Linked DNA regions of Callithrix jacchus. The protein of the gene in region 1 purifies or fractionates together with the protein of each later gene. This does not show direct contact. Links are inferred from orthologs where the notes say so. Each region holds a gene or a part of one and is shown on either strand. Other genes may lie near its edges.

Region 1 (10,277 bases):
AATAGAAGTAGAGATGGTAAGATTTTAGGTGGAACTAAGCTTAAAGGATGTAAGGAGTCCAAGACCATTTCTGCCTGAAAACCAGTCATTAAGGATGATGGAGAGGAAAAATTTCAGAGGCAAAAGTAAGTTTTAGACATAAATTTTGAGGTGTCTAGTAGATACTTAACTGAAGATGTCACACAGGTTAATATAATCTGATGTCCTTATGATGAGATCACCAAGATGAGTACTAAGAAGAGGTAAGCAGCCCAAGGCGGAGCTCAGGGGTGGGGGGGACACATCAATGTTTTATCAAAATTTAGGGAAATGAAGACTGGGCTGGCAGCAAAAGACAAGACAGAAGGAGTAGCCAATAAAGGAGAAACATCAAGCTAAGTGTAGTATTTTGCAAGTCAACCGAAGAGTGCTTCAAGGTAAAACGCTAGCTGCTGTTGAGATTTAACAATGTGGAAATCTTTGATGAGTTTTACTAAGAGTAGTGGAGACGAAGCCTAATCACCTATCAGATGACCAAACCGAGTGTCCAGACTTAACAGCCTGGAAAAGCCATAACTGTGTGATGCAATATGGAAACCACAGCATCACCTTGCACTCTTGCACAAAAAGTTTAACTTGAAACTTACAAAGACTTTAGGCCTAACTTGCAGTTTACAGGAAGTTCAAAGGGATATTAGAAGTTAAATTAATGACACTACAAAGAAAAACTCAACAAGACAACAGGACTAGTATTTCCAGAAAGTGAAAATCTTAATTGAATCCTGTTTGGGGGATGAGGGTACTTATTTTAAAAAGAGACACATGAAAAAATCTGAAGTGACTTGATGTTAAATTTTAGGTTGGACAATGGTATTATTATATAGAATCACATTCTTAGGAGATGCATGTTTAAGTATTGTTATGTCTATGACTTCCTTCGAAATAGTTTCATACAAAGCAAATATGGCAAAATATTAATAACTTCAATTTAAGTGGACCATTATACTATTCTTTCAACTTTTCTGTTGGAATATTTTTTCTAATAAAACAAGTTGTTGAAAAAAGGAGGCGGTAATAAAACGGAGGAAGTTTAGAAAATCCTTGAGTTTTGCTTTTATAAAGGGGAGCAGTAAAATAATCACTAGCAAGAGATATAGGATCAAAAGATTTTTTGTTAACATGATTATGCTTTTGGAAGTGATTTAGTAGAGAAAACAGATGCATTAGAGAGAGGACTGTTGGAGCTGTATCCTTTGCCTGAGACATGGGTTTGCATCTAGTGCTCCTTACCTAGGGCAAATGCAGGAGCAGAGAATTCATCAGTAGACAGAGTCAGACTATTAGGGTGCTTTTGTAGAATAATCACTTAACACCAATTACTAAACGATTTTGAAGGGAGTAAAGAGAACCCAAACGGGGCAAAAACAAGTTATTTTCAACCGTAGCTGCTTGGATCACCTAGGCAGCATGTTTAGATTCCAAAAGTTCTCCCCTCCCCCTAATTGTCTAAAGCAGTCTCTAGGGATAAGTAGAGCCTGAGAATCTTCTATTTTCTTTAGGGTCTTGCTATAGGCCAAAGACAGCTTCAGTATTTTAAACATCCAATATTTATTTTTCTCAGATTGCTTATTTTTCAAAAAATACAAAGAATTATAGCTATGTGCACTTGTTAATCAGAGATTTACTAAACAGATCATAGTACAGTACCGTATCAGTACTGCCTTTTACTAAAAGAATAAGATGACTGTTAACACAATTCTGTAGATACTAATTACAAGCAATTTGAGGGATTTGGGGAATTCAGAATCCCTAGGTAGCTAAAATAATCTTCCTATTGAAATCATGTGTGGTTGGTATTTGGACTAATCAACTACTGGACCCATTTAAGTCAGAGTAGCCTATAAGCTAGGACTTTTGAGTAAGCGATAATGCAGACATTTGGCTGTAAAAGAAAAAAAAAATTTTTTGCGACAGTCTCCCTGTGTCATCCAGACTGGAGTGCAGTGATATGATCTCGACTCACTGCAACCTCTGCCTCCCAGGTTCAAGTGATTCTCATGCCTCAGCCTTCTGAATAGCTGGGACTACAGGCTATCCTGCTAACCAGTGGTTCTTAGCTAGGAACTCTTTTGTCCCTCAGTGACATTTGGCAATGTCTGCAGACACTTTGGTTATCACAGTTGTGGGAAGGGGTTTAACTGGCCTCTAGTGGTACAGGCCAGATACGACTAAATATCCTGTAATACGCAAGAACAGCCACCACAACAAAGAATGATCTGACCCAAACTGCCAGTAGTGCTGAGATTGAGAATCTCAGTTCTAAGACCATTAAATGGAGGTAGAATTATGCACCTTGTTGGCACCTTGTGCTATACCAATGTTCCTCAATCTAATTGACATACAAATTGCCTGGCCACCTTGTGAAACCACTTTTTAGGCTTGTTTTAAACAAAGAATTGGTGAAATCTAATTACCAACACTAAAAAGGAAAAAGTAAATCCCTTTTCTTTTACTAACTTGATCAATTATAAATGTATATTTAAGATTGTCTTAAATTTTGGAAATATGCTATTAGAATTCAACAAAAGGATTCACTGAAGCATTTTTTTGCTCACTTCATTATAAGAAAGCTATGTCTGGAAACCGTGTATGGAAAGAGTCAAATTTGCTGAATCATGCTTTTTCATATAAAGTCTTTAAAAGAAAAAAAAACTGGATTCTACTGATAGCTGAGGTAAAAAATTCTGTAGCAGTTAAGGTATCTATAATATTCTATCAAGGAGTAAATTACAGAAGGAATTTAGAATCAGAACTCAGTTTTTTGAAATAGCACTCAAACCTTAGAAAATTAACTTCACTGATTCCTGGAAAATGCTTATGTTTTAAAACACCGACTTTATTTGAATACAACCCCCCATCTGTACATTAAGAAACAAGCAGAACAGAATTAAATGTTTTATTCTTCCAACTAAATTCCAGTACTACAAGGGCAGTAAAACAATGATACACTGGAAAAAAAAAAAATGCAGCAATAAACATTTGTTAAAAAGACTGAGAGAATAAATAAAACTACCAAAAAAAAAAAAAAAAAAAAAAAAAAGAAAATCATATAAACCCACTCTGAAACCCCAAGAAGTCCTGGAATAAGAAATGCCCTCCTTCATTATTTCACAGGAAGCACTGCAGGCTACTTGCTTAATTTTGTCCTGGGATTACATTCTAAAATTAGTAACTGGTTACAGCTTGGTTGTAGTGCACAATTAAAATCACACTAACTTCATCTGAAGTGTCATTCTACAGTTTTATTTACACAACCAGTGAAGGGCATGTTCTAGAATACCAGCTTTAATCCTTTTCAAACATTAATATAAGAAGCCAAATTGTAATGATACAGCAAAATGAGGCCACTGGTATTAATACAGGTAGCAAAGGTCCACATCCAGGTGGTATTGACATCAGGGAAATTTCCAAAACCAGTTGCTGCTGCCTAAGAGTGGTTGCCACTGACGAAAGCTTGAAATAACCTGTATTCACAGAAGGGGTATTGGCATTGCTGCATGTCATAATTGGGACCTCTTGCAACAACTCAACAAGGAACAAGGCAGCCCACAAATGTAGAATACGTGATTCATGAAACATCTAAAGGGTGAGAAAAGGAAAATTAGTGCAAAGTACAGGTTAGAATCCAAACAATTACTAGATCTTGATTTCCAATATTGCCCCTAGGTATTTAAGTAACCAAAAGACTTACAAAGTTACACTATTTCCTCCATACATTTTCAGTAATTGTTAAATTCTCTTTTTGAGTATGAAAATAATTATGTCTTCTCCTTAAAAAAGAGTCTTATTTTCAGTTTATAACTTCAAAAGTGAAATACTTACAACTAGCAGGCTGTTCTCCATATCGTCGCATTATTTGATCATGGGTAAACTTCACAAACGCGTCATATTGTTCTACAAATAAAGGTACATGTCAATTACATGATTTGTAAAATGCCTTAACATTAGAGCCAGATAAACTGAAAATACAAAACATATAGTAAAACAATTCTAAGTTGAAACTTAATCACTTACATAACCTCAGTAGTACTAACAGTGTATCAAATAAAAACAGCATGGAGCTTACGAGTCAGGAAACCTAGGTTTTAGTCCAATCACAGGACCTGACATACAACCTAGGTGAGGTTTATTTCTTTCCTAACAATTAAAAACAAGGGCTTTCAATAAAAAGACCTTTCTACTCTGAAAGTTATTGTGTGTGGTCTATGAATGGCAACTGACTGTAATGAGAAGAAACAGGATAACAAAAGCTAACAAAAAACAACCACCTAAAACCTAATCAGGTATCACAGAAAAAGGTGTTATACATCTAAGCAAATTCTCTTCTCTACATTAACACTTTAATTCCTTAAAAATCAAAAAGGTTATATATCTATATAAACATTAAATGTGTGGCTAAATATTCTATTTATGTTATACATAATAAATTTTATTTGCTGCATTTAAATTATCAAATTTTACTGAATTTCTTTGATAATTAAAACAGGACTACAGTTTGATACTCAAATGACTTACATAGTGACAGCAAATTCGTTATTTTAAATGTCTAGATTGAGGTCAAAGTTACGAAACATATAAAGTCAAAAAATCCACAACCAAATTGAGGTAAACAACTAAACTCAGTTTTTAGTACAGGGTACATACTAATATTACTGCGGATCTACACAGCTAGCCAATACTCTCTTCCTGAGGTTGCCAAGGTGGGCCATGAGCTACAAGCTTTATTTCCTTTCCTAAACTGAAATTTTCTCATTCTCAGAGAATATACCGCACTAGTATATAGAAAGTGAAATTAAAGTACACACAGAAAATAATGCATTTCTTACAACTGAGTTCCTTGGAAACTAATAAACACATCTCATACCTGCAAGTTTTGTGTTCAATATTTCTTCATATTCTTCTCGAACTTTCTCTTCACGTTCTTTCAACAAACGTTCACAGATCATCCCAACCTGCCGTAGAGTAAATAAGGGCTGTTCTTTTTTTAATGGTGAGGATGCTGCAGATGAAGTCCCTATGTAGAATAAGGACAAAAAAATAGCACTTGGTTTAGAGCCACGAGAGAAAGCAGTTCTTTCTCCAAATGAAGAGATTTCATTTGGGACTCTTCAATGTTGATATAAAAGCATTTTCAAGTCAGTTTTTGACCACAGCATTTCACAAGTCTCAAAATAATAATTTCATGCTGGATAAACACAGCGAGATGTAATCAGAGAAAAAAGTCTAAAGGTGAGTTGAAAACCTTTAAGCATAAGCAAAGCATAGTGGTCCACACCTGCAATCCCACCACTTTGGGAGGCCAAGGTGGGACAGGCATTCAAGACCAGCCAGGCCAACATAGTGAAACCATGTCTCTACTAAAAAAAAATGCAGGTTATAAGGAGCAAGTAAAGACAGGAACAGTGGTGGTACCAGGGCAAATACACAGAGCTAGATGAAGAAACAATTGATAGGAAATGAGTGGTGTACCTGAATGTGTATAAAATACTTTTAGCAGTATTATAGATGGCTATGGCTAGTCTCATTCTGAGGTCTCAAAGATTAATTTCAGATATTAAGAAGATAGGAGGGATGTTTTTGGAGAGATTAGGGTACCTTAAGTGGTAAAGGAGGAACACATTTCTGAAGAAATCTTATTTTTTTTTGAGACAAGAGTCTTGCGCTGTTGTCCGGGCTGGAGTGCAGTGGCATGATCTCGGCTTACTGCAACCTCAGCCTCCCAGCACATAGTATTCTGTTAATTTTTTTTTTTTTTTTTTTTTTTGAGACAAAATCTCACTCTGTCGCCCAAGGTGGAGTGCAGTGGTGCAATCTCAGCTCACTGCAACTTCAGCCTCCTGGGTTCAAGTGATTCTCATGCATTAGCCTCCTTAGAGGCTGGGGCTACAGGTGTGTGCCACCATACATGGCTAATTTTTGTATTACCAGTAGAGACAGGGTTTCGCCATGTTGACCAGGTTGATCTCAAACTCCTGACCTCAAGTGACTCGCCTACCTCACCCTCCCCAAGAGCTGGGATTACAGGCATGAGCAATTGTGCCTAGCCTGTTAATTTTTTTTAATAAAGGCTACAAATCATAGTACTTAGAAGATGCCCACTCTAGAGATATTATATACAGGTGGTTGTCTCTGGTTAGCAGGAATCCAGGTGGTAATCTCTTACCTTGTCCCTTTTTTTTTTTTTTTTTTGAGACGGAGTCTCGCTCTGTCCCCAGGCTGGAGTGCGTGGTGCAATCTCGGCTCACTGCAACCTCTACCTTCCAGGTTCAAGCAATTCTCCTGCCTCAGCCACCTGAGTAGCTGGGATTACAGACACATGCCACCACACCCGACTAATCTTTGTATTTTTAGTAGAGACGGTGTTTCACCATGTTGGTCAGGCTGGTCTCGAACTCCTGACTTCATGATCCTCCTGCCTCTGCCTCCCAAAGTGTTGAGATTTCAGGCATGTGCCACGACACCTGGCCTTGTACATATTTTTAAGATGTCATGTATTACTTGTATAAATTTTTTAAAAATCAGAGGATATAGTAGCTTAAATAACTAAAGGCAACGTGGATTAGACTTTTCCCACTCTAAATAATAAATTTTGCAAGTGAAAAGAAACGTTATTACCTGGTGAAGCTGGTCCACTAAGGAGAAATGCATGTGGCTGTGCATCAGAAGTACAACATGGATCTGTCTGTTGGAAACTTGTTTCTAAATGTCTTCTCTTCTGCATTCGTTTATACTCTTGTTTTATGTTGTACAGAATTTGTTCTAAAAGAAAAAAAGTTAAAATTTGTCAAGATAAAAATTTTCGCATTCAAAAAACAAAAAGGTTGGCTTTCCAACAATTATTTAGTAGACCAATCTACCCAAAATATTCCTTTCAAATAATATCCAGGAAACTGACATTCTGGTAGGAATTTATTCAGCATAAATGGTGACATTCCCTTAGCACATACACACCAACTGGAATTCAGGTGTTCAACAATATCATTCTTGCTAGGGGGGAGGAGAGAAAGCACTGAACAAAGGCAACTGTTGTCATAAGAAAAACTATTTTGCTGAGAACTTTACTAAAGGTAAGAACCACTATTGACGATTCTCTTTTAGCAAAACCATCAAGTAGCCCTTTCCCAACAAAAGGTAGGTTAAAAACAGATATAGGATCAAAAAAAAATAATAATCCACCTTTAGAAATCTATCCCAATAAGACACGTGTGCAAGGAAGGGGATGTGCACAGGGATATTTCTTAAAATAATATACCAGCAAAACTTCTAAGTGCACTGACTGGCAAAAATTAAGTTTTTCAATTGAAATAATGGTCAAAGAGTCTGCGAACCAAAACACTTAGTGTTTCAAACTCAAAGCTCATTTATTCATCACATAGGACTATTACACTAACAGGCTTTTCCAATTGCCTTTATGCCTTTTCCAAGCCCATAAATAAGAAGGAGTGTGGGGGATTATGTGTATTCAAGCACACACCAGTGAGAAGCGATAGTAGGTCAACAAAATGACAAAGTAGATAGGAACTAAAAAATTGGCCATGGCCAATTATTTTAAGCTCAGTAAAACCTAAGAATATTACAGCATTCTGAATCTTGGGGCTGGAGGGTGGGTGAGGGGTAGACCATATAAAGTGATTGGTGCATTACAGATCCTCAATAAATAAGAACCACTACAGTACAGTGCAATTATCTTGAACCACAATCATAGAAATGAGTAAAACTGTATCTGGCATATCCTTTAGGGTTATCTAAAGGGTTTAAAGGCAATTATATTTTGCTCTGAGAGAGAAAGTAAGCTTCACTCACATTCATTAGTTTCTGCTCAAAGCTATTATTATCCTGATCAAAAGTGCCATTCAAAACATGATAAAGTTTATTTATAACCAGATATTTTAGGAGGTACTAGCTTGGAGTAACTTGACCTTAATATTTACCTTTTGTGTGACTTATATACATTCTTTCAACACCATATAGCTGTTCTCAGATTTAGTCTTCCTACTGCTTCACAAATCAACCAAAGCACAACTAAAATGTACTAAAAGAATGGTTGTATAGCCGGGCGCGGTGGCTCACGCCTGTAATCCCAGCACTTTGGGAGGCCGAGGCGGGTGGATCACGAGGTCAAGAGATCAAGACCATCCTGGTCAACATGGTGAAACCCCGCCTCTACTAAAAATACAAAAAATTAGCTGGGCATGGTGGTGCGTGCCTGTAATCCCAGCTACTCAGAAGGCTGAGGCAGGAGAATTGCCTGAACCCAGGAGGCGGAGGTTGCGGTGAGCCGAGATGGCGCCATTGCACTCCAGCCTGGGTAAGGAGCGAAACTCCGTCTCAAAAAAAAAAAAAAAAAATGCTTGTATAATAACAACCTCAGTTTGTTCACTGAAAGCTAACCCAGAATTAAGATACAGTAAAACTTTAAAAAATTTATCTTTGTGAAACACCATACCATCAGATACTTAGGAGCATCACTAACAATTTTAAGGTATAATTTACAAATGACAGAATTCACTCTACAATTCGCTGAGTTCTGACAAGTACATACATACAGTTTTGGAACTAATGCAACCATGATAAATAACTTATCACTCCAAAAACTTCTCTTGGGCTCCTCTGCAGTTAATTTACTACCACCATCACCACTCCCCCACTACAGTCCAACACTCATCCGCTATTACTATATAGTTTTGCCTTCTCTAGATTTTCACATAAATGGAATCATAAAGAGTATAGACTTTTAGGGCCAGGCGCAGTGCCTCACGCCGTAATCCCAGCACTTTGGGAGGTGGGTGGATCACAAGGTTAAGAGATCAAGACCATCTGGCCAACATGGTGAAACCCCATCTCTACTAAAAATACAAAAATTAGCTCAGTGTGGTGGCACACACCTGTGGTTCCAGCTACTTCGGAGGCTGAGGCAGAAGAATGGCTTGAACCTGGGAGGCAGAGGTTGCAGTGAGCAGAGACTGTGCCACTGGCACTCCAGCCTGATGACAGAGCAAGACTGTCTCAAAAAAAAATAAAAGAGTATAGACTTTTATGTCTAAACTACTTTCACTCAGTAAAATGCTTTTGAGATTCATATATGTTGCATGAATCAGAAATGCCTTTTTATTAGTGAGTATTCCATGTATGTATTATACACACATACATCTATCCTTTCTCCTGTTAATGGACATTTAGATTGTTTGCAATTTGGGACTACTACAAATATTCAAGTACCAGTCTTTGGTGGACATGTTTTCATTTCTCTTGGGTAAATACCTAGGAGTGGGAATGGGCTGCCTAATCATATGACAAACAAAGGGTTTTATTTTGCAAGACATTGCGCTAAGCCATTTTCCAGTGATTGTGTCATTTTGTATTCCTACAGTAAATATATTACAGCTCCAGCTGTTCCACATCCTTGCCAACATTTGATATTGTCAGCTAAAGAGCTGGAGAATTTTTAATGCTATTGCCTGCACTGCTTTTTACATCTAATATGCAACTATGTCGTCCAAGCCACTCTGTGCCCTCAAATGCACTAATACTGGTAAGACGTGATCAGCAAGGTTATGTAGTGAAGGGTCAAATTTAACTTGGCCAAGCTCTCAACAGCACAAGTAGCCAAGAGCTAACTGCAATGGCAAGCCTCAAACTCAATTTATTTCAGCTCAAGGATATGAACAGTTTTAAAGCTGATAACTCAAATTTCCTCAGATTCAGCTCTACACCTACATTGCTAAGTTCAATCTAAATACTTGGCTGACATGAGTTGCTTTCATACCAGGTAGATAAAAGTCCTTCCATATATTAGTAAAGTACTTGTCTACTTAGTCTTAAGCTACTTACATCTGGCCATCTCTTATCAAGCCAGCAAGTTAACATTTTATCTAAGGTACGTGAAATATCTGACATTGTCTTGCCAACACACTTTACAGTTCACTAAAGAAAAACAGAGTCCAAGCTTCACTTGTATTATCAGTTGCATATTCCAGTTTTAATAATGTAGCCTTCCTATTTGGCTTATGAGGCATAGACTGAATTTGTAGCAACCAGTTAGAACAAAACATGCAGAGTTATCTTCATGACAAGCTACATCACACAAATGGCTGTATATTCTTTTTCTAAATCCTAAAAACTACGTAACTATTTACCAAAAAATACTGCTAAGTGGAAGCCATTAGCAGGTTCTATGACTCACAGCATTTTCATTCTCAAACCTAGTAAATGACACTAAGATCGCTAATAAACTTCTC
Region 2 (10,433 bases), on another chromosome or scaffold:
CACAGATGAACTCTCCAAATGAATTGTCAAGTTTATATATAGGAGTTTGCTGTAGATATGCAGTACCTTGTATGCATTATTTTTTCAACACAGTTCCCAACTGGACTGGGCTCTGCCAGTCACATATAACCTGATCTAATAGCAGGTGGACTTTTATCCCTTACAGGCAAAAATTGTTATCCGGGAGCTATTGCCTAATGGGTTGAGAGAATCGATAAGCAAAGTGCGCTCCAGTGTGGCCTATGCAGTGTCAGCTATTGCCCACTGGGACTGGCCTGAAGCTTGGCCCCAACTCTTCAACCTGCTCATGGAGATGTTGGTGAGCGGAGACTTAAATGCCGTCCATGGAGCCATGCGTGTTCTGACAGGTACCAGAAGCCCTTTTCCCTGGTATTGGTACTTGGATCTCAAGCAACGAGAGTATTATAAGAAGCTATGTGATAGAATGGCCCAGACCAGTAGGAACTGCTGCTTATGTTATTCCTCCTAGTTTTTATCTCTGCATCTACCCTGCAGCTCCATTGTATTTTTCTAGAGAATGAAGTTTTATAGTATTACATATACTACCAAACCTTACCACTTACAGATACAGTAATAGCATAGTGATTGAGTATTCAGATTTTGGATTCTTCACCTTGATCCTTCACTTACCTTCTTTAAGCCTGAGTTTCCTTGTATATAAAATTAAGATGTTAGTAGTGTCTGCATAAAAAAGGTTTTGGTATAGTTTAAATAGCTAATCTGTCTTTATTGACATGTTCAGTAGAGTTTAGTTACTTTGATAATTATTATATATTATTTTTCCACTTTGTTCAACCAAGGCAAAGTTAAGAATTGTAAAGTGGATTTTTATAGAAATATTAAAAAGAAGATAAAAACAGTATAGCCATATAATCCTGACCTTCATTTGGCCAGTTAAAGAATATGCAGTCTCAGTATCTTTTCTTTTTCTCTGTTCTGAGAAGTTGATAAAAATACTTCAACTTTAGGCCGGGTGCAGCGGCTCACACCTGTAATCCCAACACTTTGGGAGGCCGAGGCGGGCAGATCATGAAGTGAGTAGTTCGAGACCAGGCTGACTAATATGGTGAAACCCTGTCTCTACTAAAAATACAAAAATTAGCCGGGTGTGGTGGCGTTCGCCCGTAGTCCCAGCTACTCGGAAGGCTGAGGCAGAAGAATCACTTGAACCAGGGAGGCAGAGGTTGCAGTGAGCCGAGACCGTGCCACTGCCCTCCAGCCTAGGCAACAGAGCAAGACTCCATCTCAAAAGAAAGAAAGAAAGAAAAGAAAGGAAAGCAAGAAAGAAAGAAAGAAAACTTCAGCTTTTAGTTCAAAGAGATTTGATGGATATCTCTTCTAAACCTGATTAATCTGTCAATCCCACCCAGAGTCTACTTTCATATGTCCTTAGGGATGGCCTGAGTTTCCCAGTCCTTTGCAAGTTCCTCCCTGCTTTCTATTCCCTAGATGAAGTCACTACTCTGTTTTGCCTTCAAGAAATTCTTACCTGGACTTTAGTCATCCTGTACTGATCTTTTAGAAATCATCTTTGTCCTTCATTCACACAGGTTTGTCAAAGTCCCACCAATACCTTATCTCTTTCTGTATGCCCTGCTAGTTTACCTGAAATGTATTCTTACCTGGTTCTGCATGCCAATTCTATTCTCTCTGAATCTCAGTTTACTGAACTTAGCACATAGGTCCAATTTTGCTAGTCTGTGTGATACTAATGGTAGATAATATCAACTCTTTGCCAAATACAAGTCTTTTTTCTCTTTTTGTTTCAAAACCACCTCTTCCCATGCCCCAGCTGTCTTTTTGAATTACCCACGATATTCGTATTGATTGCCTGTGACAAAGCTTCAATTTTTAGCCCAGATACAGAACAGACTTACCAAAAAGATCAAAATGTTCCTTGCTCAGATTTTTACTTCCCTGCTTATTGCCCTTGCTTCTCCTTTATGACTCATGCATTATTCAGGTGATTTCACACACCCCTCTCCATGGAATTGGCCTTTTAGAATTCTTTATTCACAACTTCATAGTGCCAGTATATCGATTAACAGATACATGTTCTACCAACGAAAGGAAACCTATTCCCTCTCAGACTTCCAACATGAAATTCAGCTTCTTTTGACAAACCTGGAGAGTAAAGGTGTTTGTACATTTATCTTGATTTGGATGCTCAAGAGCCCTTATTGTGTTTGACTAAGGAAATTACTGTTCAGTGAGATCACTTTTCTGCCAGCCACAGGGAAAGAACTGTTGGGGAAATTTGTCTCCTTTTGTAATGGAGTCACCAGACATGGAATGGCTGGCAGCCAAGTGCTATTCCCAAATAATTGCTCCACATATTTTCAAACAAGGGCAGACAACGCTCTGACAACAAAAACTTAGGCATGCACGAGGATAGCAAGACATTGGCGATGGACAGAGGCCCATTAGGAGAATGGTACTGATTCTCTTCAGAGTCTTTCAAGATACTGTACCAGTTTCCCTTTAATGAGGCTTCCTTTTAAACTTATCTACTTATAGATGAGAACTGACTAAGGCTCATGTTGTGAAGGAAATGCAAACATACCAGCTAAGGATTGATCCACAGATACAGCTTTTTCTTCAGTCTCAAAGAAGTTTGGAGATTGAGGTGTTGCTGGAGTCCCAGAATTTTTCTGACTTGCAGAATCACTTCAGAAAACTTTTGGAATTAAACCTATAAAATATTAATAAATTGACACCAGGGTTGAGTATAGGAGAGTAAAAAGCAGGTAAGCGCTTTATTAGTAGAATTAAATTGGCTGGATGTGGTGGCGCACACCTGTAATCCCAGCACTTTGGGAGGCCAAGGCAGGTGGATCACCTGAGGTTGGAAGTTCAAGACCAGCCTGGCCAACATGGTGAAACCCCGTCTCTACCAAAAATAAAAAAATTAACTGGGCGTGGTAGGCGCCTGTAATCCCTACTCAGGAGGCTGAGGCAGGAGAATCGCTTGAACCCTGGAGGCAGAGGTTGCAGTGAGCCAAGATTGCACCACTGCACTCCAGCCTGGGTGACGAGTGAAACTCCATCTCAAAAAAAAAAAAAAGAAATCATACTATATTTTTCATAAAGGTTGTTATCATTATGCCATCTATTATGTTTATTTCAACTAATTTCCTTGGATTTCTAAATAAAATAGAACACTCACTATTCAAAGCTCAGACTTTATTCTTGAGGAAGAAATTACAGCTAGTAAAGAAAATTCATCCTTGAGTATTTTATCTTCATTTGACTCATGGGGATTGATATTGCCCAAAACTATTGAGTACATTAATCCTGAAAATGCCAACTTGTATTTCTAGCTGTGTATCTTCTCCCAAAATGTCCCAAGTGGTTAACTTTTTTTTAAATTTATTTATTTATTAGAGATGTGGTCTCACTCTGCCAACTTGTGTTTCTAGCTGTGTATCTTCCCCCAAAATGTCCCAAGTGGTTAGCTATTTATTTATTTATTATTAGAGGTATGGTCTCACTCTGTCACCCAGGCTTGGGTACAGTGGCCCTATTGTAGCTTACTCCTCCTGCCTCAGCATCCTAAGTAGCTGGGATTACAGGCACATGCCACCACATGCAGCTTTTTTTTTTCCTTTTAAATGTAGTGGCATATCTTGCTATGTTCGGGCTGGTCTTGAACTCCTGGCCTCAATTGATCCTCCCACCTCAGCCTCCCAAAGCTCTGGGATTGCAGGTGTGAGCCACTGTGCACAGCTTCTGTTTCCATTTTTATAGTGATAATGTAGAAAAGCATCAGGTGAAGTGAATACTTATTAGAACTCAAGGGCTTTTATCCTGCTTCTTTGTAACATGAATCCAGGGTCCTTTGTGCTGTCTCAGTGCCTTGTGTGTGGTGTGGGTTTTTTTTTTTAAGAAGTGAAAGGAAAGATACGACCCATATTTCCGTCACCTTCTTCAAGTCTCATTCTGTGTATAGGATGCTTTTTTGCCACATTTATGTAGAAAATCCCTTTTTGTTCCAGTTAGTAACAGCCTCTAACTTTTAGGTCAATAAATATACAAAATAGAGTTGAGGCCTACTAAGTCTGTACATGTTATATTATGTGCATCAAACTAGCTTGCCAAGCAAAAGTACTGAAAACAGAACCAAAGGTAAGAAACCTCAAAGTGTAACTGAATGTTGACAAATGGGCACATGATAAATTAATACAGAATTTTCCAAGTTTACCTCACAAGGACTTTTACATAGTTCTATTACAGATTTTCTTTCAGTATTTGTATTGTTTTCTTTTTTAATCTCTTGTATTTTTCTCTATTTCCATATTATTCTTTCTCCTTCTAACAAATAATCAGCAACTCTCGCTAATTTTGCTTTCACAGAATGAGACCACCAGGCCACTGTCTTTACCTGTGTCCTGTCTGTTTGGGAACTGCCACCTAGAAGCAGTTCACAAATATCACGCTTAATATCTGTATGAAGCAGTATTTTTTTTTTTAACAGTACTGCTTTTTTCTTCGTAGAATTCACTCGAGAAGTGACGGACACACAGATGCCACTTGTTGCTCCTGTCATTCTCCCAGAAATGTATAAGATCTTCACCATGGCTGAGGTATGAAATCTCAGCTCCAAGATTATAGTGAGTTCAGGCTCTCGTCAGCCCCCACCTCTCAGTTGGGAGATTATAGTGTTTGTAACTGATGTCAATATCTAAAGACTAGAACTGAAATCTGAATTAACCTTGGACCTTTCACTCAACTATAAGGGCAAGCCTTTGATAAAAGAGTGCAATAGCCAGGCACAGTGGCTCACACCTGTAATCACTGCACTTTGGGAGACTGACAGAGGCAGATCATCTGAGGTCAGGAGTTCAAGACCAAACAGCCAGACCAACATGGAGAAACCCCGTCTCTATTAAAAATACAAAAATTAGCCTAGCATGGTGGTGCATACCTGTAATACCAGTTACTTGGGAGGCTGAGGCAGGAAAATCGCTTGACCTTGGGAGGCGGAGGTTGCAGTGAGCCAAGATCATGCCATTGCACTCCAGCCTGGGCAACAAGAGCGAAACTCCATCGCAAAAAACAAAAAAGTGAAATAGCTTAAATATTTCTTCACATATCATACTTACTGGCATCCAGGAGCCCCTAAGTAAATAAATAGTGCCTTCATGCTACTTCCAGCCTCATTGAGTTATCCCACCTCAGCTTGCCTACCTCAGCTAAGTAATTGGAAGCAATCTATCACTGCATTGCACATAATAGACCCTTAATATATTGTATGTATATTTGATTAGTGTGTATATGAATAACGTATTTATAATAAGGTATAAATCCCTGATAATCTTTTAACTTCCCTATACCCCTCAGCCCTCAACCAATGATCTGCATTTTAAAGGAAATATATTGGCTGTGTTAGGATTTTTTTTTTAAAGAAAGAAAAAAAAAGGAGTGAAGGAGAAGAAAAAGGAAGAAGGAAAAAGGAGAGTGAAAGAGGAAGAAAAAGAGGGAGAGAGAATGGGAATGTAGCTTTATTCTAAAAATGGGCATTAATAATGGCCGATCAATATTTTGTGTATTTAAGGTGGAGAATGTATATTTTGTGTATTTAAAATGGAGAGCTTTATAAATATTTATTGAGTTTACTTGTTCCAGATCTGCGTTTAAGTCCTGGGTATCCTTATTAATTTTCTGTCTTGTTGAGTCTAAATCTCTTTATGGGTCTTATGTATCTGGGTGTTAGTGTTGCATTGATCCTTTTACCACTATATCTTTGTTGCTTTGAAATCTATTTTATCAGATGTGAGAATTGCAACTCCTGCTTTTTATTTATTTATTTATTTTTGCTCAAAAATCCCACCAGGCTGGGATTTTAAGCACTACCCAGCCTGGTGGTTTTTTTTTTTTTTTTTTTTTTTTTTTGAGATGGAGTTTTGCTCTTGTTACCCAGGCTGGAGTGCAATGGCGCGATCTCGGCTCACCACAACCTCTGCCTCCTGGGTTCAGGCAATTCTGCATCAGCCTCCTGAGTAGCTGGGATTACAGGCACGCACCACCATGCCCAGCTAATTTTTTGTATTTTTAGTAGAGATGGGGTTTCACCATATTGACCAGGATGGTCTCAGTCTCTTGACCTCATGATCCACCTGCCTCGGCCTCCCAAAGTGCTGGGATTACGGGCGTGAGCCACCGCGCCCGGCCCGGTTATTAATCAAATGAACCAGAAGCCCATATATAAGGTTCATTACAGTAAGTTCCAACATTATGATTCTACTATGTTTCATTCTCTCAATTACGGAAGTCTGCCTCCTGGACATAAATGAATGACATTTACCATCTCTCAAGGATATCTAATGTCATGTGAGGATTCATTAGTCATAGCTTTACTTCTAGTCAGAGATACACACATACCTACATGCTCTAATCTCATAGCTATTCTGTAACCTTTTTTCCAGGTCTATGGTATTCGAACCCGTTCCCGAGCTGTGGAGATTTTTACCACTTGTGCCCATATGATCTGTAACATGGAGGAGCTGGAAAAGGTAAGCGGGTCTTTGGATCAATAACAGACTTCATGCTTAAAAGTCTTATTCATGCAAAGCAGTGAGTCATTTCATGATAGCAGCACCAAAAAGCACACTAACCAGTATTAGAGATAGACACATTTTTATTAAATTATTATTTTTCCAGACAAGGTCTTGCTCTGTCACCTAGGCTAGAGTACAGTGGTGCAATCATGGCTCACTGCAGCCTCGAACTCCTGGGCTTAAGTAATCCTTCCACCTCTGCAACTCCCACCCCAGTAGAAACTACACGTGTGATGTGCACCACTACACTTGGCTGATCCTCTTTTCTCTTTTTTTTTTTTTTGTAGAGATGAGGTTGCACTATATTGCCCAGGCTGCTCTTGAACTTCTGGGCTCAAGTAATCTTCCCACCTCAGCCTCCCAAAGTGCTGGGATTATAAGCATGAACCACAGCACCCAGCTATATTTTTATTTTTTTATTTATTTGAGTTTTTTTGTTGTCGTTTTTATGAGACAGAGTTTTGCTCTGTTGCCAGGCTGGAGTGCAGTCACACAATCTCGGCTTACTGCAACCTCCACCTCCTGGGTTCAAGCAATTCTTCTGCCTCAGCCTCCTGAGTGGCTGGGATTACAGGTGCGTGCTACCATACCCAGCTAATTTTTGTGTGTTTAGCAGAGACGGGGTTTCACCATGTTGGCCAGGATGGTCTCAATCTCTTGACCTCATGATCCGCCTGTCTCAGCCTCTTAAATTGCTGGGATTACAGGCGTGAGCCATCATGCCTGGCCTAACGAATCTATTTTTGTAGAGAGTGGGTCTCTCCCTGTGTTGCCCAGGTTCATCTTGAACTCCTAGGCTCAAGTGACCCTCCCACCTTGGCCTCCCAAAGTGCTAGGATTACGGGTGTGAGCCACCACACTTGGCCTGATTGAATTTTCAATTTGTAAAAAGCTTAATCTACATACACACACGCGCGCACACACGCATGCTTTATGCCAGACTTTCAGTAAAAATTTGCAAGATACACTGTCTTGGGTAAAAGAGAATTGGTGGAAAATTAAAGACAAAGTTGTCTTCCATATATGGAGTTAATGACAAAAATAGAAGGGAAAAAATGGCCAGGAGGTGAGATGCAGACAGGTAATAAGAATTTAACAGAAGCAGGAAATGAAGAGTAGGAAACCAAAGAAAAATATGCTGTGAACAGTTGAACCCTACCCCTACCACAGAGATACTAGGATTCCCAACCAGATGTGAATTTGGCCTAGAGTGTATTTTGTTTTGTTTGTTGTATTAAAGGAATGATAAATTCTAAATGCTGGATGTCTTTGGGCGACATGGCGATAAGTTGTATGGCAATTTTTTAGTGAATTATCATCAAATGCCAGCGTCTCTAATCACAGGTCATGCAACTCCTTGTGGTAGAAATGTAATCCAAATATTAATCTCTCAATTCCCAGCCCAGTTTACCATCCCTCATCATTAAAACAGAACTAGAGAGGATGACAAGGTCTAGAGCTGAGAACAACAGTGCCTTGGATCCAAGGCAGCACAATGATTCAAAATCAAATATGCAGCTGGCCAGGAGACAAATTCAGGTGACTCACAGATGCTCTTTGACTCAATTTTGTGTAGTAGAATTTCAAGACAGGGATAACATTATTAAAACTTCCAGCAATTCACAGCCAGTATTTTCAATTAAAAATCACTGGGTTCTGGCCTTAAATAAGGCTATTGAATAACTTATGCTAATAAATGGATCTCCCTCACACTTAAAAATTATCTTAAAAAAAAAAAGCTTAGTCGCCTTTTGAGTCTTACTTCTTCAAACACTTTATCCTATATCCTTTTCGCAGTAGTCATCACTCAGAACTTTCCTACTCTTTTATGGCCCCTTTTGTGTGAAGCAAAGCAATCCCTGTGATTCAGAAACAGTTATGAGGAAAGTCGTCGGTCTTGCGTAACAGTTTGTAAGAGGGCTGTGATGAAGAACTACCAGTGCTGGTTAATGAAACTTTGGGTAACACCTTCACTGACCTTATAGCTATTCTCTTCTGGTCTGTCTCGGAACCTGAAGAGAGCTTCAGGTGCCTTTCAAATATCAGTGTTTGATACATATGTTTTCAAGCATTGACTGGATTAGGGATTTATCCAGCATCGACTTTGGTTTCTGTTATCAGGGTGCAGCCAAAGTCCTGATCTTTCCCGTGGTACAGCAGTTCACAGAGGCCTTTGTTCAGGCCCTCCAGATACCAGATGGCCCAACATCTGACAGTGGGTTTAAGATGGAGGTCCTAAAGGTAAACACTTCCTACCAATGAAATACTTGGAGTTTGAGAGGGTGGTCTGAAATCATTGATTTCTTATATATCACTCATAACTTGGATCTTTTTCTCTTAACTTCTTAGGCAGTGACAGCCCTAGTGAAAAACTTCCCAAAGCACATGGTGTCCTCCATGCAGCAGATTCTGCCTATTGTTTGGAACACCCTAACTGAGAGTGCAGCTTTATATCCTTTCTTGAAAGCTTAAGGGAGCTACTACCACCTATAGTTAGGAATCTAGCATTGGGTCTCTCATTCATGTGGTTCTACTCTTCTTAAACAGGCCTTTTTAAGGTGTCTACTTTTAGTGTTGGAGTATGTAACATTTCCTTGTAGATTATATGTAAAGCAAACTCCAAATTCTATTTCTTTACTCTTCATCATACTTATGTGAGGACAGAAGTAAATTACACAGAAGAAGTAGAAGATCCCGTGGATTCTGATGGTATGTAGTTTATTTGATCTTTATAGAAATGCCACTTAGTGGAAAAAGAAAAAGAAGCCAGAGACAGGAGGTAAAAAAAACAGTAAACTTGAGAGGCTTCATTCTATTAAGTGTTTTCTAATTGAGTTTATTTTCAGTATATTAGATGTGAGGAAATAAGAATTGACAGTCTTCAGTCTGTTCCTCATAGGTATTTGCATAAATCTCATAAAATCATAGAATTTCTGAGTTGGAAGAGATGCTTTTAAGACCATTTAATCTAGCCTGTTTCTGGCATTTTGTCATGTTTCATTTTGGTGTCCCAGTTGATGAGTCTTTTATTTCTATTTTAATATTTCGAAGTATTTCAGATTAGAAAAATAGACATACTGGGAAATATATTCAGTGTTTCTGGTTATTTTACTTGAAAAACCAAAGAATATTTAATGTCCTCAAAATTCTGTTTTGTGACTTCTGAGCCCTCTCCCAATTCCTCAGGAATAATTATTAGCAAGTACTTTAAATATTCAATAATTTACAGAGATAATATAGTTCATTTTCAGCATGTATGCTTTCTTTTTACTTTCTCGCCATTAATTTCTTCTTTTGTATATTTCCTGTAGGTGAAGTCCTGGGCTTTGAAAATCTTGTCTTTAGCATTTTTGAATTTGTTCATGCTCTACTAGAAAATAGCAAATTCAAAAGCACTGTTAAGAAAGCCTTGCCTGAATTGATTTATTATATTATCCTGTACATGCAAATCACTGAGGAGCAGGTAAATAATATTCGAGAGACAGTTACCATCATGTATTTGGAAAGTGCAACTTGAAGAATGTGAAGTCTTGGTCAAGTGAACACTTTATTTCTAAAAATACACACAAGACAAATAATTTCATGTGAAGTTCTAGGAAAGCTGTGACATCATTTTATTGCCAAATGCAAGGTATTGGAGTTTGCCATCACACCCAGCTAATTTTTTATTCTTTTGTAGAAAAATACTATGTTGCCCAGGCTAGTAGTCTCTAACTCCTGGGCTCAAGTAATCTGCCCACCTTGACCTCTCAAATTGCTGGGATTAGAGGCACGAGCCACTGTGCCTGGCCTGCTTTTGCCGTTAGAAAATCTCACAGGACTACTAACCTAAGACCCTGATTTTTAGATCTGTTC
Region 3 (10,922 bases), on another chromosome or scaffold:
CAGCCTAGGTGAGAGAGTGAAACTCCATCTAAAAAATAATAAAATAAAAGTTAAAAAGATTATAAACAAATTTATTTAAACATTTTATTAGAAACTTAAAAAAAAAAATAGAGATGGGGCTTCACTATGTTGCCCAAGCTGGTCTTGAACTTCTGGATTCAAGTGATCCTCTTACGTCAGCCTCCCAAAGTGGGTTTACAGGCATAAGCCACTGCACCCAGCCCTTATTTTTAAATTAAAAAAAATTTTTTTTTGAGTCAGGGTCATGCTGTTCCCCAGCCTGGAGTACAGTGCAGGCAAAGATGTCTTTGCCATGAAGTGCCATGATTAACATTCAATGGGCCTGCATATTTATTATTCTTATTGGAATAGAATGCTGCTGTCTCATTCCTCTTCCTGCATGAGTCATTCATTCACCCAGGAGGCACACACACCCATGACCCAAGCTACTTGGAGGCGAAGACAAGAGGTTCATTTGAGCCCAGGAGTTGGAGGCTGCAGTGAGCTATGATCATGCCATTGTACTCCAGCCCAGGCAACAAAGACTGTGCCTCTGAAAACCAAACACGAAACACAAAAAGAGTAATTCGCTCAATGTTTCAATAAATATTTGTAAGCATACATTATGTGACAGGCACCGGGCTAGATACTTGGAATATCATGACATGGTATGTCCCTTATTTTAGTGAAGGAATGACAGATTTAAAAACAAGCATGTAAATAATTAAGCAGTATGTTCTCAGTAAGTGCTCGGAAGAAAATAAAATGGGTGCTGAGGTGGCAAAGGCCTGGGGGTGGTCAGGGGCCTGAAGGGTGGGAAGGAGCCAGTCAGGCCAAGATGTGTGGGGAACAGCATTTTGTCTGTTTATTTGAGGCAGGGTCGTGTTCAGTTGCCCAGGCTGGCAGTGGCACAATCATGGCTCACTGCAGCCTCCACCTCCCAGGCTGAAGTGATCCTCCTGCCTCAGGCTCCCAAGTAGCTGGGATTACAGATGCGTGCCACCACACCAGGCTAACTTTTGCATTTTTAGCAGAGATGGGGTTTCACCACATTGGCCAAGCTGGTCTTGCACCTCGAACCTCAAGTGATCCATCCACCTCAGCCTCCCAGTGCTGGCATTACAGGCGTGAGCCACTGCACCTGGCCAAGGGAAGAGAAGTTTAAGCGGAGGAACCAGTAAGTGCAAAGGTCCAGTGGTGGGAACAAATTTGGCTGGGGTTAAGATATGGAAATGCCTGTGAGGCTACAGGGAGAGGCAGGAGCCCAGGTGGGAGAGGTAGAAATGAGCTAGAGCCCATGGGACCTCCCTGACTACAGATTTCACGGATCTAAGTGAGGCAAATAGGAAATCACTGCAAGGTTTTACGAGTGGAGGAGGAGGATCTGATATGGTTTTAAAAGCTCACTCTGGGCCACGTGCAGTGGCTCATGCCTGGTATCTCAAAACTTTGGGAAGCCAAGGCAGGAAAACTGTGGCCAGAAGTTTGAGACAAGACTGGGCAATATAGCAAGACCCCAGCTCTACAAAAAAGTAAAAAAAATTCTGGGTGTGGTGGTGCGTGCCTGCAGTCCCAGCTACTCGGGGGGTTGTCGGGGGGCTGAAGTGGGAGGATCACTTGACCCCAGGAGTTCAAGGCTGCAGTGAGCCATGCTCACAGCACTGCACTCCAATCAGGGTAAACAGAGAAATACCCTGTCGCTAAAAAACAAACAGATCCACTCTGTGCCTCCTGATCAGACACTAAGGACACAGCATCATCTTGTGGTTGCTCTACCCAAACTGCATGAGCTGTATCTAATGATGAGGAAGTATCAGAGAAACACAAATGAAAAGACAGTGTACAAAACACCTGGCCTATAAAATACTCTGCAAGGCCGGGCGCGGGGGCTCACACCTGTAATTCCAGCACTTCGGGAGGCTGAGGCGAGTGGATCACCTGAGGTTAGGAGTTCAAGACCAGCCTGACCAACATGGTGAAAAGCCATCTCTACTAAAAATACAAAAATTAGCTGGGTGTAGTGGCGGGTGTCTGTAGTCCCAGCTACTCAGGAGGCTGAGGCAGGATAATCGCTTGAACCCGGGAGGCAGAGGTTGCAGTGAGCCAAGACTGCGCCACTGCACTCCAGCCTGGGTGACGAGAACAAGACTCTATCTCAAAAAAAAAAAAAATTGTCATCCTAGTACAGGGGCCATGCTGTTCTCTGTATCATTCCAATTTTGGTATACGTGCGGCCGAAGTGATCACTCGACTACCTGTGCCAACATAATGAAACCCCGTCTCTACTAAAAACACAAAAATAAATAAATAGCTGGGCATGGTGGTGCAGGCCTGTAATCCCAGCTACTCAGGAAGGTGAGGCAGGAAAATCGCTTGAACCTGGGAGGCGGAGGTTGTGGAGGGCCCAGATCGCGCCCCTGCACTCCAGCCTGACCAACAAAGTGAAACTGTCTCAAAAAACAAGAAGAAAAAAAATAGAACATTGCAGGTAAAGTCTTGTTTGACTCCTCTGCTCAGTGCCATCACTCCTTTCTACCCTTTCCTGAAGGAATAACCATCAGGATATGGTGTACGGATCCTTGCAGTCAATTAAAAAATAAAATACATATATCCAATAACCAACATGCTTTTGTTCTGTGTATTTGTAAAAATATTACCTAAATGGCATTATGCTATAAATATAATGTGTGTGTATATATTCCCTCTAGGCAAAATTACATACAGTGTTAGGCTTTACATATTCTTTTTTTTTTTTTTTGAGACAGTTTTGCTCTTGTTGTCCAAACTGGAGTGCAGTGGTGCAATCTCAGCCCATTGCAACCTCCGCCTCCCAGGTTCAAGCCATTCTCCTGCCTCAGCCTCCCAAGTAGCTGGGATTACAGGCGCACGCCACCACGCCTGGCTAATTTTTTGTATTTTTAGTAGAAACGGGGTTTCACCATGTTAGCCAGGCTAGTCTCGAACTCCTGACCTCAGGTGACCTGCCCACCTCAGCCTCCCAAAGTGCTGGGATTACAGGCGTGAGCCACCGCACCTGGTCTATGTATTAATTTTTGAAGACAGGGTCTTGGTCTGTCTCCCAGGCTGGAATGCAACGGTGCGGTCATTGCTCACTGCAGCCTGGAACTTCTGGGTTTGAGGGATCTCCTACCTCAGGCTCCTAGAGTGCTGAGATTACAGGTGACCTAGACTTTATAAAGATATGATCACTTCTTTTCTCAACATTATCCTTTTGACATCTATCTAACCTGTTCAAACAGATGACCATCTTTCCAATGTTCTACAGCATTAAATGCTGTGCACATGCATGAGGCATGAGTTTCCCTTCAGGGCCTCTCCCTAGAAACGGAAATCCAGGGTCACAAGCAGCGGGCATTCCCGTTTTGCTGTTAGATTCTGCTCTCCCACCAGCAGCGTCTGAGAGGTGGCTGGCGTTCCCGAGGGTCCCTGGACTTGCGTTTCCAGCTGGCCGGTTCTCGCGCGCCTTGTGCGCACTTTGCGTCACTGGGGTTCCCAGCGGACTCGCCTGCAAGTGTGCTCGTGACTGCTGGGCGGACCCCTGGGTCCCTGGGGCTCTTTCCCCACGGGGAACTCTTTTCTGAGGTGCTTGACTGCGCTGATTTGGGCCTTTATCTGTCTGCATGTCAGCAGGGGCGCCCAGGAAGGACCCGTGGGTCGGGGTCCCTCTAGCTCAACCTGGCCTAGGCTCTTCACAGCTTCAGCTCCACAGGGGGCCGGGAGCTTGGGCACTTCCTCATTCCGCCCCCGAGGGTAACTACGGCTGGAAGACCCGCCCACACCGCAAACGAAATTTCATCGTTTTGTTTGTAGGATGCGGCCGCCATGGCTGCCGACCTATGAAACGCTCCGAGAAGGGGTGCTATGGCCGGGCGCGGTGACTGCATCTGCAATCCCAGCGCCTTGGGACGCCGAAGAGGGCGGATCCCTTGAGGCCAGACTGGGAGACACAGTGAGATCCTGTGTCTCAATTAAGACAAACAAAATCAGCCCGGATGTAGCGCGCGCTTGTAGTCCCAGCTACTCGGAGGCCGAGACGGGAAGACTGCGTGAGCCTGGCAGTTCCAGACCAGCCTGGGCCATACAGCGGGACTCCGTCTCAAAAGAAATAAGCACCCGTGTTTCTGGGTGGGCGCATCCCTCTCTGATGCCTCGCTCTCCAACTGTCCCTGGGCCTGGGGGCGTGAAGGCTAAGCTCTGGGGAGACAAAGGCGCGGGCTGACCCTGGGGGACCGGCCTAGGACCCATTCATTCATTCATTCGTTCTGTCACCTACCGGTCCTGCGCCGGCCTATGCCCCAAAGACCCCAAGTACCCTCACTCCACGGGGCGCAGACAACGACAGGCTGGCCAGCGCCTGGAAGCCGCGTGCCTGACCGCGTCTGCCCGAGCGAATCCCGCCTCCCGCCGGGGAGGCCGCAGGGCCGCGCCTGTCCCGCCGCGCCCAGCATCTCCCGGCCAGGAGCGCGCCGCCTCACCAGTGGCGCATGCGTGCCCGGGAGCCCGCCCTGAGTGTTGGCGCACATGGGGCCCGCGGGTCGGCGTGCGTGCGCGCTCCCGCCTCGTCCTCCCACGCGGTCCACCGCGCCTACCGCCCCACCCTGCGCTCCACCGAGCCGGGTTGCGTGCGTGCGCGCACGCGCGGTCCACGTGGGCGGGCACCGGACCGTTGCTCCGCCCCTTGTCAGCCCCGCCCCGCGCCTGCCCCGCCCCTGCCGCGCGCCGGCGTCGGCTGCGTCTCAGGCGTTTGAATTGCGCTTCCGCCATCTTTCCAGCCTCAGTCGGACGGGCGCGGAGACGCTTCTGGAAGGTAACGACGCGGCTGGCCGGGCAGGGCCGGGGTGGGGGGGACAGGGGCCGTGGCGGCGGGACAGGGGCCGCGGCCGGGGTCAGGGCCCGGGCTGGTGGCCGGCCCCGGGGCAGCGAGCGGCTGTGAGTAGGTGGGTGGCGCGGGCCGGGCCGGGCCGGGGGAAGAAACGGGCGTGGGGTCGGCGCCCGCCCCCGCGAATCCCGGTTCCATCCCGCGCTCCCATCCCGCTCCCGGTCCCAGTCTCGTCTCCATCCCGGCCCCCCCGTCCGTCGTTCCTTGGGTCCCGCTGCCCCGGATGCCGGCCCCGCCCGCCGCCTTCCCGCTCCCAGGCCCGGCCGCCATGGCGCCGCGGGCGGGAGGCCTTTGTGGGGCGGGCACGTGGGGCGCGGGGGGCGCGGGAGCGGGGCCGCCATGGGCTGCGGGGCCGCGCGAGCGCTCGTCTCCGTCCTCTGCCTCCGCAGGAACGCCGCGATGGCTGCGCAGGGAGAGCCCCAGGTCCAGTTTAAAGTAGGTAACCCTGCGGGGCGGGCGGCGGCCGGGCCGGCCCGCGTGCGCCTCGCGGTCCCTCCTCCCGGGCCCACGATGGCTGTTAGCCGGGCCCCGCGTCCGCGTTCTTGGCGTGGCGGACTCTGGGATCCGGAGAGGTGAAGTGTTCTGGGTTTACTTCCAAAATGTGTTCTCCAACAGCTTGTATTGGTTGGTGACGGTGGTACCGGAAAAACGACCTTCGTGAAACGTCATCTGACTGGTGAATTTGAGAAGAAGTATGTAGGTATGTGCGGGAGCACCTTGTTCGCGGACACGGGTGGGAAACGGGTCAATGCGCCCACTCACTGGCATCGCTTCCGTCGCAGCCACCTTGGGTGTTGAGGTTCATCCCCTGGTGTTCCACACTAACAGAGGACCTATTAAGTTCAATGTGTGGGACACGGCCGGCCAGGAGAAATTCGGCGGACTGAGAGATGGCTACTATATCCAAGGTAAGCATCCGTGACTTGCTGAACCGTTGCTGAGAGCTTTTGTGTACTGCATCCTTCAAGGTTATAGAAAATCAGGCCGGTTCCGGCAAACAGTGCTTAATACTGTTAGGGGAACTGTGTCATTTTTGGGTTAAAAAACGTGAGCTTCGGGGAGCTGACCACCATTTTGGTGGCAGAGGAGAACATTTTATGCAAGTTGTGTTATTTGCATGCTGTGTCATGCTAGGCATGGTTTAGAAGAAACTGTGACTTACACTGGGTACATGTCATAGTTTAAAACAATCACAGACAGGCTGTTAGAGCAGTTCAGTATATGAAAACAGGCTCAGGTATGAATTTAGACGTAGTGATCAATGATTGTTTGTACTCCATTAAAAAACACCAGGGAAGATAGGGATCTTAGCAAGTGTTATGCAAGACTAGGTGATTTCTTGTTACATTGTTTGTACTAAGTTGCGGAGAGTATTTTTCTCAAATAGATTGATTTTTAAAATTGCAAGGAAGACGTTCATTATACCAAAAAGAGGAGTAAAGGAAATACTCATCTCTCCTGGATCCTCACTTTGCTGATAACAAATTATTTGGAATCATTCCATGCCTTTTGTTTTCCTTTAGTATGTACAAATAAACACAAGAATTTCCCCCCAAAAATCTTTTAACCAAAAAGTTGTGGATTCTTGCTTTATCAACTATGCCATAGCTGGCCCTGCAGGTGAATATATAGACTTTATTTGGGTTTGTTATTATTTTTTGAAACAGGGTCTCTATGTGGCCCAGCCCAGAGTGCAGTGGTGTGATCTCAGTTCACTGCAGCTTCTGCCTCCTGAGCCAAGCTGTCCTCCCACTTCAGCCTCCTGAGTAGTTGGGACTACAGGCACAGGCCACTATACCTGACCAATTTTTGTATTTTATTTATTTTTATTTTTATTTTTTGTAGAGATGGGGATTCATCATGTTGCCCATGCTGATCTCGAACTCATGAGCTCAGGTGATCACCCACCTCGGCCTCTCAAAGTGCTGGGATTACAGGCATGAGCCACATCGCTTGGCCTGTCTGGATTTAAGACAGGAATATTTCCTGGTATAGTCAGCCATGCCATTGAAAGACCTTCTGAAGAAGGTGTTTGCAGGCCCCTTACCCTCAGAATATGGCAGCTCGGTTCTGCAGAATCTCACTTATCATTAATCTACCCGAGATACTTTTTGGGATGAGGGTACTGTTAATGATGAAGTGTATCAGGGAGGTTTGACGGGGTCAGCTCATCTTGCTTAGGAAGAATTGTGAATTAACATTTTTAGAAATTGCGAATTGACATTTTTAGAATTGGAAGTGAAGGGAGAAAGCTAGGAGACTCGGTGAGGTCTAAGACCAGATGAATCCTAGACTGGTTCTTGGCATTCTTCATGTGTGTAGTAAACTAAGTGTACTAACTACCACAAATGTTCCTTTCAGCCCAGTGTGCCATCATAATGTTCGATGTAACATCCAGAGTTACTTACAAGAACGTGCCTAACTGGCATAGAGATCTGGTGCGAGTGTGTGAGAACATCCCCATCGTGTTATGTGGCAACAAAGTGGACATTAAGGACAGGAAAGTGAAGGCAAAATCCATTGTCTTCCACCGAAAGAAGAATCTTCAGGTGTGTGAAAATTAAAACTTCCTGAGTTATTTCTCTTAGAGGAGATGATACGTAAGACCATGAAATTGACCAGTCTATATTATATATGGAAATAATTTTATTTTTATGCTATTTTTATTGTTTTTAAAGACTGATAGAGATGGGGTTTCACTGTTGTCAGGGTTGGTCAACTGAAGTGTGTGTGTCTCTTGTTAAGACAGGGTCTTGCCCTGTTGCCAAGGCAGGAGTGCAGTGGCATGAACATAGCTCACTGCAGCCTTGAACTCCTGGCTCAGGCAGTCCTCCCACAGCCTTCCGAGTAGCTAGGACCACGAGCACTCACCACCACGCCCACCTAATTTATTATTTGTAGAGATGGGGTCTTGCTCTTGTCCAGGCCTGATCTTGTACTCCGGGCCTCAGGCAATCCTGCTACCTCATCCCCCCCAAAGTGCTGGGATTACAGGCATGAGCTACCATGCCCCACCAAGAATCTTTTTCTTATTTTGGAATGTTCTGGGAAAATCAACTTTAAAAACTAATTTTTACTTTTTTAAACAGTACTACGACATTTCTGCCAAAAGTAACTACAACTTTGAAAAGCCCTTCCTCTGGCTTGCTAGGAAGCTCATTGGAGACCCTAATTTGGAATTTGTTGCCATGCCTGCTCTTGCCCCACCGGAGGTTGTCATGGACCCAGCTTTGGCAGCGCAATATGAGCACGACTTAGAGGTATTGTGGCCACTTTGCTGTCCAGGCTGTTGTGTTTGGCTTGTGTATTCCTGGCAGTTTTGAGCTGGAGTGTTAACAGTGTTCCTCTCTTCATCTAGGTTGCTCAAACAACTGCTCTCCCGGATGAGGATGATGACCTGTGAGAATGAAGCAGGAGCCCAGCGTCAGAAGTCTAGTTTTATAGGCAGCTGTCCTGTGATGTCAGCGGTGCAGCGTGTGTGCCACCTCATTATTATCTAGCTAAGCGGAACATGTGCTTCATCTGTGGGATGCTGAAGGAGATGAGTGGGCTTCGGAGTGAATGGCAGTTTAAAATACACCTTCATTGTTTGGACTTGCATATTTAGCTGTTCGGAACGCAGTTGATTCCTTGAGTTTCAGATATGAGACTGCTGCAGTCACATCACAATATTCAGTGGTGAAATCTTGTTTGTTACTGTCATTCCCATTCCTTTTCGTTTAGAATCAGAATAAAGTTGTATTTCAAATATCTAAGCAAGTGAACTCATCCCTTGTTTAAAAATAGCATTTTGAAGCCACTAAAATAGAGATATTTATGCCATGTTAATGTTTGGATTGCCTTGCTGTCCTTAATTTGAAATCTGTTAGGTTAATTTCTTCCTATGTCTACTTTTTATTTTTGTACATTTGAGCTGTGTCTCACAAACTCAGCATGACAGGTCGACAGACTGTTTGGTTAGGAGAGTTAAACGGTGTAAAGACTGTGCAGGTGAAGTAAAGCGATGTCTGTTCCACCTTCATTTAGGGTAGGTAGGGCCCTCTTGGGAGGAACCTGCTCAAGATTTGTGACCTGTCGACAAAAATGTGGTTTGTACATACCAAATAGATATTTTAAGGGTAATACTTGGTTTTGTTTTGTGGCAAAAGTAATGTTTTGATAACTTCAAACAGGATGGAATGTCTGGATGGCGGGAGCTTGGGAATTCTTGGTGTTAAAAAGTATAAATTTTGCACTTTCTGTTTGAATGTCAGATGCTTAGTGTTAACTTGATACTCAAGGAAAATGGTCCGTGTTTACCCAGTTTTCAGGTACTCCCGGGCTTTCAAGATGTCTTAACATTCAGTTCTTAAGCAGTACACACACTATACTTTTTGGGGTTTTTTTTTTTGCCCTGAGGATTTGTAGGGCAGCGCAGCGGAGCAGGGCATGGATGGAATACTAGGAACGTGGCACAGTGGAGCAGGGGTGGGGTGGGGCGGGGCGGGGTGGGGGGGGCGTCTCAGTGGCAGAGAACAGCTGTGAAACTTTTTTATCAGACTAAACATTTAATTTATCTTGTATATTTTCCACATTTAAAATGAATTAGGTCTATCCTGATTAGGAGTTCGATCCCATCAATGCTATTCTTGTAGAAGTTAGGAATCTTAAAAATAAGAGCTATTTTTTCCTCAGTTACTACTACAGTCCAGTTAACCAAAGTTTTCTTTAGATGTCTGATTATCTGGAGATGATTACTTTCCTACTTTAAAAGGTGTAGAAAGGATCACTTAAATATATGGAAAAACGAAAAAGGTGAAGCTGAATCACGTTCTACTTACTGTATTAACTGGCAACAGACCTCGAGTGTCTTAAGATCTTAATTGCTGTGTTTGTGACACTATTCAGAACCAGCTTCTAACCAGCCTGTGTGAGATGGGAAGTTTTTTCCCATAACTGGGATGAAAGCTTTCATTCAGATATTTTGAACTTAAGGTGTATGTGTTGTTTGTAACCTTGTGTAGAATGCAAGTGGTGTTGACATTCTGGATCTTCTGTGTAACAGTTGAAATTTGGAAGTGATGTCACTTACCTGTCTAACATGGTGTGGGAGAGATTTACAAGTCATTGGAAGAATAATTGTTGCAAAATATATTGCTTCTACTTTGCCTGGATTTTCTGAATCTTCTCTAGTATTGCTTTAGGAAATAGTGAATGGTTAGCAGAGATTATTATGTTTTCTGGGGAGAGTGGGGAGGGGAGGGGTCAATTCTATCCAGATTGTACAAATGGGAAGAGTATGCTCTCCATCTTTTGAAGTCTGGTGCCTTAAAGGGGGAGGCCTGAAGCTTTATACAAAGTTACTGCGTACCAGTAATCGCTTGTTAGAGCAGAGGCACTGAGAGTCACTGCAGGGCCTGTCTTGTCGGTATATACTGAAATAACCAGTAAATTGGTAGTGGTAAAGTGTTGGAGAGCAGTTTAAATTTGTGTGAGCCAGTTTTTGAAAAACTAGGATGGGGTTTTTTGATCATATCAATCATAAAATGTCTAGAACCAAAGAGGACTGCTTTCCTGGCTAACTTCACCTGGAGGAACTCAAGGACAGAATTTCTGGTTTCTTTTGCAAAACAGATGAGGAACACAAAGTTACCTGCTGAGCAAATGAAATGAGGGAGGGATTCAGCTTTTCTTGCCAGTAATCTGTCAGACATCGTGTATACTGTTTTCTGCCACGTTGGGGCTGCGGGTATCCTCCCCAGCAAGATAACGTGAGACTTAGGCTCCCCCTGTCTAGGACAGCACCCATCCTAACTCCTTGCAGTACCTTGTACCCTTCAAGCTGAGGGCGTGGTGGGGAGGGAAACCACCTAACCACTTGCCTTTAGTTAAAGGGATCAGAGTCCTGTTCAAAAAACAAATGTGATGTGTCTCCCCTGCTCCACATTTGCTACCAGGCCTTGTACTCTCTGGTCACATGCATCCAGAGATGACACAGCTGTGTGCATGCCGCTTTTCAGAACAGTCCCTCCCCTTCCTGAAG

What was found.
Region 2: the proteins of AKIRIN2 (region 1) and IPO9 purify together in Homo sapiens (affinity purification with mass spectrometry; 3 studies listed by BioGRID and IntAct, counting the BioPlex papers as one, with this or other methods). This does not show direct contact. The link is inferred for Callithrix jacchus from reciprocal best matches to the Homo sapiens genes AKIRIN2 and IPO9.
Region 3: the proteins of AKIRIN2 (region 1) and RAN purify together in Homo sapiens (affinity purification with mass spectrometry; 3 studies listed by BioGRID and IntAct, counting the BioPlex papers as one, with this or other methods). This does not show direct contact. The link is inferred for Callithrix jacchus from reciprocal best matches to the Homo sapiens genes AKIRIN2 and RAN.

Annotation. Positions count from the first base shown.
Region 1 is NC_133505.1:93,761,661-93,771,937, forward strand, and holds the end of AKIRIN2 (akirin-2), read right to left. Parts: intron 6,799-10,277; coding exon 6,655-6,798; intron 5,054-6,654; coding exon 4,904-5,053; intron 3,934-4,903; coding exon 3,862-3,933; intron 3,619-3,861; coding exon 3,608-3,618; 3' UTR 2,922-3,607; downstream 1-2,921. UniProt on the Homo sapiens protein: Molecular adapter that acts as a bridge between a variety of multiprotein complexes, and which is involved in embryonic development, immunity, myogenesis and brain development.
Region 2 is NC_133520.1:28,865,909-28,876,341, forward strand, and holds part of IPO9 (importin-9), read left to right. Parts: intron 1-166; coding exon 167-368; intron 369-4,515; coding exon 4,516-4,604; intron 4,605-6,446; coding exon 6,447-6,533; intron 6,534-8,699; coding exon 8,700-8,819; intron 8,820-8,927; coding exon 8,928-9,028; intron 9,029-9,228; coding exon 9,229-9,287; intron 9,288-9,889; coding exon 9,890-10,041; intron 10,042-10,433. UniProt on the Homo sapiens protein: Nuclear transport receptor that mediates nuclear import of proteins, such as histones, proteasome and actin. Serves as receptor for nuclear localization signals (NLS) in cargo substrates.
Region 3 is NC_133510.1:134,084,008-134,094,929, forward strand, and holds RAN (GTP-binding nuclear protein Ran), read left to right. Parts: upstream 1-4,797; 5' UTR 4,798-4,828; intron 4,829-5,289; 5' UTR 5,290-5,299; coding exon 5,300-5,335; intron 5,336-5,515; coding exon 5,516-5,600; intron 5,601-5,682; coding exon 5,683-5,808; intron 5,809-7,261; coding exon 7,262-7,449; intron 7,450-7,989; coding exon 7,990-8,160; intron 8,161-8,258; coding exon 8,259-8,303; 3' UTR 8,304-8,652; downstream 8,653-10,922. UniProt on the Homo sapiens protein: GTPase involved in nucleocytoplasmic transport, participating both to the import and the export from the nucleus of proteins and RNAs. Switches between a cytoplasmic GDP- and a nuclear GTP-bound state by nucleotide exchange and GTP hydrolysis.